Coturnix japonica: one gene and its partner. The protein of the gene in region 2 interacts with the protein of the main gene of each other region in a pairwise test. Links are inferred from orthologs where the notes say so. Each region holds a gene or a part of one and is shown on either strand. Other genes may lie near its edges. The genes, in order: RPP14 and RPP30.

Evidence for each region.
Region 1: the proteins of RPP30 (region 2) and RPP14 interact in binary tests that used the Homo sapiens proteins (3 or more experiments, as listed by UniProt). The link is inferred for Coturnix japonica from reciprocal best matches to the Homo sapiens genes RPP30 and RPP14.

The regions. Positions count from the first base shown.
Region 1 is NC_029527.1:9,298,822-9,303,055, reverse strand, and holds RPP14 (ribonuclease P protein subunit p14), read right to left. Parts: upstream 2,761-4,234; 5' UTR 2,712-2,760; coding exon 2,626-2,711; intron 2,553-2,625; coding exon 2,468-2,552; intron 2,406-2,467; coding exon 2,329-2,405; intron 1,878-2,328; coding exon 1,799-1,877; intron 1,445-1,798; coding exon 1,388-1,444; 3' UTR 1,354-1,387; coding exon of another isoform or gene 838-1,353; 3' UTR 791-837; downstream 1-790. Other genes in the region: PXK (PX domain-containing protein kinase-like protein), read right to left, coding at 1-74; HTD2 (hydroxyacyl-thioester dehydratase type 2, mitochondrial), read right to left, coding at 838-1,353. UniProt on the Homo sapiens protein: Component of ribonuclease P, a ribonucleoprotein complex that generates mature tRNA molecules by cleaving their 5'-ends.
Region 2 is NC_029521.1:17,047,510-17,051,886, forward strand, and holds the start of RPP30 (ribonuclease P protein subunit p30), read left to right. Parts: upstream 1-1,401; 5' UTR 1,402-1,687; coding exon 1,688-1,769; intron 1,770-2,540; coding exon 2,541-2,596; intron 2,597-2,903; coding exon 2,904-2,960; intron 2,961-3,235; coding exon 3,236-3,310; intron 3,311-3,850; coding exon 3,851-3,922; intron 3,923-4,377. UniProt on the Homo sapiens protein: Component of ribonuclease P, a ribonucleoprotein complex that generates mature tRNA molecules by cleaving their 5'-ends. Also a component of the MRP ribonuclease complex, which cleaves pre-rRNA sequences.

The DNA of each region.
Region 1 (4,234 bases), on a different chromosome or scaffold from region 2:
TCGATCTGCGCTGTCAGCGGCACCGTGTCGTCCAGCAGCACCTTGCCGGCCGGCGGCTTCTCCATGAAAGCCATGCCGCGGAAAGGCGACGGGAGCCCGGAGCCGCCAACCTGCTCCTCCCCGTCCAGCTCCCGGCGCCACCGCCGCTGTCAACACGGCAGCGCCGCGCCGCCCCGCCCCGCCGGGCCTTAGCGCCGCCGCCCGCCCCGCGCAGCGACCGCCCGGCCAACAGGGGGCGCCGTGCCGCCCCGACTCCTCACGCAGCGCGGCCTGCAGGGGCGGCACGAGCCCGTGGGGCCTCACACGGAGCGGAGGAGAAGCGCCGTCCTCATCAACGCATCATGAGCTGAAATACAGCCGCACTGCCCTGCACTGCCCTAACACCACATGTAGGCAGCTCCGTGCCTTATTCTGGCTCTGGGGTGGTGAAAGTGCCATGAAAAGTTCAGTGAAGATTCGGCCTCTTCCTCTCGCTTACCTAAAATCTGCACAATTTTTTTTTCCCCCTGTAAATATTAGTTAAATTTCCTTACAGCAGAACTGAGAGCCTAGTTGGGAACCGACAGCCCGGCTCCCTGTGTGTCAGTGACTCCCACAGGGAGCTGTGTGCGAACAAGGCTTGTATTGCTCGTATGAAGGCCGACTACTCTGTACATGTAGGAGCTACAGCAGTGCAGCACAGCACACTGCAGCACCACCGGCCAGAGCTGCAGTGCACATTACCTGCCAGTCCTGCACTATGTGTCTGCACTTCCACTAGTCCACATTAACAGATGGCAAGTGACAAAGATGAAAACCAAACATACATTTCTGCCTTTACTGCGAAATAACACAAGATCAACAGCTGGGACTTGCTGGCACCATGACGTTCACCATCCCTTCCAGAACAGTCTTCCCACTTTGTCTGACTTGACACGATACCGCAATGCGTGCGATGGAGCTCCTCAGTCGTTTCACTTCTGCTGTAGCCGTCACTTCTTCTCCAGTATACAAAGGAGCTGGAAATCGAATGTCCTGAGATAGAAACACACAGCCCTGCCCAGGCATTTTGGTACCCAGAACTGCAGAGATCAGTCCATTGATCAAAACCCCGTGTACTACGGTTCTACCAAATCTAGTTTGCTTGGCAAAATCTTCACTTAAATGCAAAGGGTTTGTGTCACCTGTTAAATGAGAAAAAGTAACAACATCGTGCTGTGTAAAAACTCGGCTGAGTTCAGCTTTGTCTCCCACTTTTATGTGTAAATTCTGAAGCTGTAGACATGCAAAGGGCAGGTTGGTAACCACCGGCTTTGTGGAAGGTCTGTGTTGGAAATGCCCTCTAGGAATTACACGCCTGAAGAGAAGCAACATTCCAAGGAACTTGTGAGAGTCCAAGCAGCCGCACTCAGTCCAAGAGCAGCTCCCTGCTGTCCCCAGCTAATGCCAGAAGAAACGGAGACATCTTGTTTGGGGGGAAGAAAACAAGAAAACAAGAAGCATTAAAAATAAATAAATCATCAAATGTAGCCAGAGGTGAAAATATTTAATCCTCCCGTTATGTAGGTTTTAAAATAAGAGCTGTGACTAAGCAGATATTTGTGTAGCCACGGCTTCAGGCACAAAGAATTCACGGAAGACAACTTATTAAAGCAGAATCCTCAGGGGGGAAAGGAAAGCACAGAGCTCTGGAGGTGCACATTTCTGCAGGTGTTTTTACATGAGGCCATCACTGACTGTTAGAAAGGGAGAAAATGGGAAGAAATGTGCCAGACAAACAGGCAGCCCAGCAGTGACAGCAGGGGAGGCCCCCACCTACCTGCAGCACCCGGAAGGCACAGCGCCTGTTCTGGTAGAAGCCCTGCAGGGTCAGAGCACTCCACAGCTTGACCAGGCCACTGAGTGAAAATAAGACAAAAGACGTTAATTTATTGCTTTTTCTTTCTCTTCCTGCAGCAAAAACGTTTTTAAAACACGTTACGCAAAGAGCAACGAAGCGGAGTTTGATAACCTGTAATGTCACCAGTGAGTTCTGGTAACAGCTGTGTGTCATGAAGGGTTGTTGTAAGGGCTGCAGCCTTGTCCCTAACATACAGCAGATGCTCACTGTGACCATGTTACATTACTGGCCCTGTTCTTACATTCTTACTGTGCCTTTAAGCACCATTTCCCCCACAGCACCTGCATCTATCTCCAACATTTAAACCTGATTTTACACCTTCCAGCAGGGCTTTGCTCCTTCCGGACCCTCCTGTCCTACAGCACGTGGTGACCAAACCTTACGGACTTTATATTTCATCGCATTGTCAGGAGATGGCTGGGGCCCAACCACGCTTCCACACGCCTCACCTGCTAATCACTCTCAGGATGGCACACAGTGTTTTCTCCTCGTAGGCCAACACGTCGACAGGCAAAGCGGCTCCAACCTACAGACACAGACACGGTTACGTGCAGCCGGGCACCGCGCACCGCCCTGCTCTCCCCGTACCTCTCCGTGCAGCTCCCGCAGCGCCGTCACCACCAGCTGCTTCAGCTGCGGGGCTCCGGGCCGGGCCGCGCCGTCGGGCAGCTCCCTGCGGGGAAACAGAGCGGCGATCAGAACCGGGGGGCGGCGAGGGGCGGGGCGGGGAGCGGGGGCTCACACACAGGCGGACCCGCAGGTAGCAGTGCTGAGCCGCGCTCCGCAGCACACGCCGCTCGTAGGCGGCAACGGGCGGCTCCGTTCGCTCCATGCGCCCGGCGGGACGGCGCGGCCCGCCCCCAACTACGGCGGCACCGCGGGGACATGGCGGGGCGGGGCTGGCGGCGCAGCGTGGGTCACAGGAAGGCGGTTCCCATCTCCTCAACCACCCCGTGCAGAGGAACTCTGGGCAGCTTTCCGTATCTGACCTTTGGATTTTGTCCCCTTGGGAGCAAACATCCACTGACAGCACAGCTGTGTCAGGTTGCGAAGGGCAGGCAGGGCTCCTTGCTGCAGCCCGCTCTCACCTTCTGCTGACGCCGATACAACACACTTCTATCAGCTGAAGCCTTCAGTGCTTTAAAGGTGTCCGTAAGAAAACAGCAACAGCAAGGCCTCCCCTGTAAACATTCAGCAGAGCTCATCTCCAACCATGGCAATGCTCCGGTCTCCCATGCAGTCTGCAGGACACCTCATGGACACCTTCCCCGAGCCACTTCCAACCTAACTTAAAAGCTGTTCGTAAAATACCAAATGCTTTAAACGAAGCTTCAGCACAAGCAGATGTGAAATAATGTTTTCCAACATTCAACATGTACCAAAGGTCTCATCAAATTATTAGTGAGCTTAAAAAGAGCAGCTTGCCACACAGAATGCAGCAGCAAGAGAACTCAAGGAATCCTGTGCTCCTCTCCTAGAGCAGAGAAACAGCACAGAGCCCAAATAATCCTCCTCCAGTTATCTGGCACACACGCCTGAGCTGCCACTTTTATTTGGAGCAATAACATCTACAGCAATTTCTATTCGTTTTCAAAGATAACAGCAAAATGTAATGACTGGAGAGCGAAACGTGGTGGTCAGGTCACATCCAAACCCATATTGGTTACTGCAATAGGGTGAGGGCTGTTCTCCACGAGCCCTGATAACAGAAGGAGCTCGGACACCCCAAGGAAACGTGTTTAGCTGCTGTAAAAGCCACTGTGATGCACATCAGCTGCAGCAGACAATAAGGAGCACACACAGACCGTACCAGGAAGGCTGGACACAACATGTCAGTTTATTAACCAAAAGTGAAGCCGAACCCCAGAGTGGTTTAACTTTTTAAAACCATACGTTTATATGGCAGAAACTTCTTTTTTTTTCCCACGTTAACACTGTACTGCAAGAATCAAACGTTGCAGCTGTTCACCCTTTGAGAATCAAATACTAAGTGTAAAATGAATAAGGGTCCCTCGAATCGATTAAAAACATCTTGAACTCAAAAGAACAGACCAATTGTAAGAACTGTCTTATGAAATTCTCCCAAGTGAAAGACTTTCAAAGCACTTGGAGCCTTGAGGTAGCAACTTTATGCAGAATTTAATTCCCCTCCTGCCCCACAAAGCGGAGGAAAATTAGTAACGCATTATTAGCTCCAGCCAGCTTAGCGGAGTCGAGTGTTCTCTGATGAGGTTAGTGACTTTCTCTTCCACCTTGGAACAGCAGGATAGTGCTGCAGACATCAGGAGAAAATCCACAAGGAAGGCATCTTGAAAGAAAACCTCTGGTTGGAAGGAAGTGAAATGATCAGCAATA
Region 2 (4,377 bases):
GCTTGTCTGTTGCCTAAAAAAAAAAAAAAGCTGCTTAATCTTGTTTAATGTCTCTGAACATTAGTCCAAAAGAGATGTTCAGAAATAATTGATACATATTTATGGATTTCTTCTCACATTTATTCAGACAAATTAAATCAAGTTCCATCATACACTGTCAAAAAAACCAAACAAACAAAGAAAACAAAAAAAACACTTGAAATAATGCTTTGAGTTCTCCCATGTCCACACACTTCACAGAAAAGCCTTAAGAAGACCATTTGATTTGGGCTGTGTGTTCAGATATTTGGCAGAGAAGCAGCACTGGCTATTCCAATAGGAAACATGTTAAGGGCACAGATAGGCCAAAGCAGAATTTGCTGAAACATAGGAAACGTAGGAGGAAGGAACATCTTCCAGGGAGACCTGGATAGGCTTGAAAAATGGACCCACAAAAACCTAGTGAGGTTCAGCACAGCCAAATTCAAGGTGTTGTATTTGAGCTGGGGCAACCCCAGACATTCAGACTGGGAGAAAAACTCACTGAGAGCAGCCCTGCTGAGGAAGACTTGGAGACTTGATGGACAAAAAGTTGGATATGAGCCAGCAGTGTGCACTTGCAGCCCATAGAGCAACTGTATTCTGGGCTGCATCAACAGAGGGGTGGCAGCATGAAGAGGGAGGTGACTGTTTCACTCTGTACTGTCCTTGTGAGCCCCCACCTGGAGCACAGTGTCCAAGCCTGGGGCTCCCAGCACAGGAGTGATATGGAGCTGTTGTGATGGGTCACAAGGATGGCCACGAAGGTGCTCAGAGAGCTGGAGTACTTCCCTGGAGATAGGTTTGTTCAATCTGGGGAAGGCACCAGGGAGATCTCGTTGCAGCCTTTCTGTGTTTAAAGGGAGCTTATAAACTCTTCGGCCTCAGTGTGCCAAGGAGCAGTGCTGTGGGCAGGGACGTGCCTGGGAGCTGTGGGCATTGCTGGAGCAATTCTGCCTGGTTAAGGGTTTAGCATTCCAAATAACCCACTGAACCTCCAGGCTCAAGGAAGTGGAAGCAGAGGGCTTGTGAGGCCTCCCAATACCACCTTGATGATGTGAAGAAATCACAGCCTTGCTTGTTTTAGCAGCTGCTGTAACTGTCCCAAACAGCAACAAAAGTGGTCATTACCACCTGTATTTCACATATGTGCTGATTAGCAGCAATAAAATGGGTGGGTTTTTCAACAGTGCTACAGAGTCAAAGCATGTTTGATTTGTGGTCTCCTGGAATTGTTCATCTCTTTTGCATTTTAGGGAATATCTCTAGAGAAGCTGGGACTAATCAACCTAGGATTTTATTTCACATTTTTTAGTTAACGCAGGAAAACGATGGCCTTAACTAGGAACGGTTCCACCCCCCCTCGGGCCATACAGTAGCTGCGCTCGGTGGGAGGCGATCCGGCCGCTAAGAGGAGCAGAAGCGCATCTCCCCCTGCTGGGCAGCGCACACACCCCGAGCTCCCGACTGCTCCGCTCGCAGCACAGCCCCCCACGGACACGTTCAGGAGCGCATAAAAGCTCGCACGCTCCATCACCCAGAGCTCCGCCTGCTGGTCCAGAGCCCATCCCGCTCCTCGTAGCAGGACTACCAGCCCCAGGTTGCTCCGGGCCGCCGGGGGCGGTGCCGGCTGCGCTCACAGCCTTCGTTCCGCCCCGTGCTGCGCAGCATGGCCGGCTTCGCCGATCTGAACGTCCCGCAGGGCGCGGATAGGAAGGCCGTGCAGAGCGTGCTGGAGGCTGCGGCGAACCGTGAGTCGGGGCTGGGAGCGGGTGGATGTGTTGTTGAGGATGGGGTGGCTGTGCTGGAAGGCGGCGCTGGCTGAGGGCTGCAGCAGCGGCGTGAAGGATGGAGAAGCGGGGCTGGACGGGGCGGAAGCTCCATGCGCCGGTCCTGCCCTGCCCAGCGAGGGCACGGGGTCTGTGCTGTGCCTGAACAGCGCTGTTATTATCTCCGGTTACTCTCCAACCTCTGCAGAGAACTTGTTCCAGGGTTACTGATCTTCAGCACAGGCTTTATGGCTTTCTCTAGTCCTGTCCACCACGGCAGTCTTTCTGTTTGTATCACCCTTCAATCGTGGTCACATCTCCCCTCATAATGCATCTTCCAGTCCGCTGCTGCAAGGCGCAGCCTTCGTGTCGATGCAGAGCCGGGACCTGGCAGCCTGTGGCTTACCCCACTACCCCAGGCTCACAGCCACACCTCAGCCTGCCCTGCTGTACCCATTAGGTAACCGTGCATCTCTGTGCGTACCCCAGCACTGGCCGTGCACAGTCCCTTGTCCTTGTTACTGTCAGTCAGTGAGGATGTGTTGTAAAGGCTGGCTTGTGCTAAAAGAAAAAATTGTACTCTTAAGACACATCTTTGAGTTAACATTGAGCAAAATTCACTGTGAAAGGTAAATGTGCACATCGTTATTGATTTTGAGATATTTAAATAATGAGCATGTGACAGTTTTCTCCTTGTGTCTGTTTCCATTACTTGCTGATCAAAGCAGGCTCACAATGTGTTTTCTTTTTTAGTGGGATATTCTGCAGTTGCTCTTAATCACGTCATCGATTTTAAAGAAAAGAAACAGGTAATTTCAGTTCAGCTTCTTTGTTGGTGATGTGTTTGCTCTCGTAAATCTCTGTGCCACTCCTCTATCCTTTGTTTTTACGCACTCACCTAAATGAAGGCATTTGTATTTATATTTATAACAGAACTCTGATTTTATAAGCCTGTATTACTGCCCTGGAGTTAATTTTTACTATGGTCTGTGAATTGTCCTTAGGAAATATTTTGTTAGTATGTTAAGCTTATTTTTGGAGTTGGAACACAACTTCTGTGTACATTCTAAACATCCCTGTTGTATTTTGGATAACTTTGTTTTGTTTTCTTTTAAGGAAATAGCCAAGCCGGTGTCTCCATCAGAGCTGTTTCCATCTTTGCCTATTGTGCAGGTGTGTTTATTACGTTCCATCTATGTGTTGTTACACTGAGCTGCAATTTTTCCTTTCAGTTTATCCACTCCTCAGAGAAACACAGTGAGCCCTTCTTTCTGAAGGGCAGTTACAATATATATGTTTTATATTAGGGAAGCATAACTACAGACTTCCAGAAAATTATTATAGGCAAGAATTGGTGCAAGGCACAACTTTCTTTTTATAGTAGGCAGGGTGAAGGTTGCCACAAAGTTTGTCAGCTTTTAAAATCTTATATTATTTTTCCATCATAGGGGACATCTAAAAGACTTAAAGTCTTAACCCGGCTGACACTTGTTGTTTCTGATCCTTCCCACTGTAATCTCTTGGTAAGTACATTCAGTGTATCTGCTTGTTTGTTTGTTTGTTTTAATTTAATTTTCTCAACGAAAGAATGACACTTTGGGAGTTGTGTATTGGATTTAATGGATTTCATAGGATACTCAGTACTGATTTCTCAGACCAGATCTTTAGAATCTGAAGCATCATGACCCCTCACGCAAGTGTCTGTGAAACAGAACGTGATTGTGCTGATCGCTTATTAGTATGGGGTAGCAGTTCTGTTCCTTTATTCTTTTATTTGAATTCTGGACTTCCATGTGTACACTAGAATACCAGGAGGGAGACCAGTGTGTGTTTGTGGAGCTGTGTGCTTGAGACAAAAGGTATGTGAGTGGATGGGACAAGCCTCAAAATGACCTCAGAGAATTGCTCACAGTAGAGACCTACTATTTAATTAGATTATCGTCTTTGTTTTGGTGCTTGAAAATGGTGAGGAAATTTTCTCATTATTATTTTGGTTATAATCATTGTGTGTATGCTTGTCACCTGCCAGAAGTCAAGGTAGTAATTATTTCCTCCTTTTGTAGAGATCTACATCTGCAAATATAAGATTGTATGACATCATAGCTGTATTTCCAAAGACGGAGAAATTGTTCCATGTAAGTACTATCTGTGAGTTGTCATAGAGCTGGCACTAACCATCAGTGTCTTGGAGTGCTTTGAGTGCATGCTTTGTTTTGTTTTCCATTCTATATAGCCATGTCATGGGGCTAATTAAACAATGTAGGTTCTCTGGTCAGCAGCAGGCAGACTAAAAGATTGGGAGAAATCCTAGAAGGGTAAAGGGCCTTGATGTGATCAGTTGGTCCTAAACGTCTGCAAGTGGTCTGACTGACTTGCTTTCAAATGCTCAGCTCAACTTCTTGTCAAAATGCTTTCATTGCAAAATGGGGGGAGAAAAAGTGGCACATCTGACCATCTCAGGAAGCTCCTGAGTCGTATCATTAAGAGTGAATTGGAAGAGTTGGTAGAGGTGATCTGTCTGTATTGCCCTTGGCAGACAGCAAGCTGATGTGCAATTTGAAGAATGCACTGTGTCACGGAGTTATCTAGA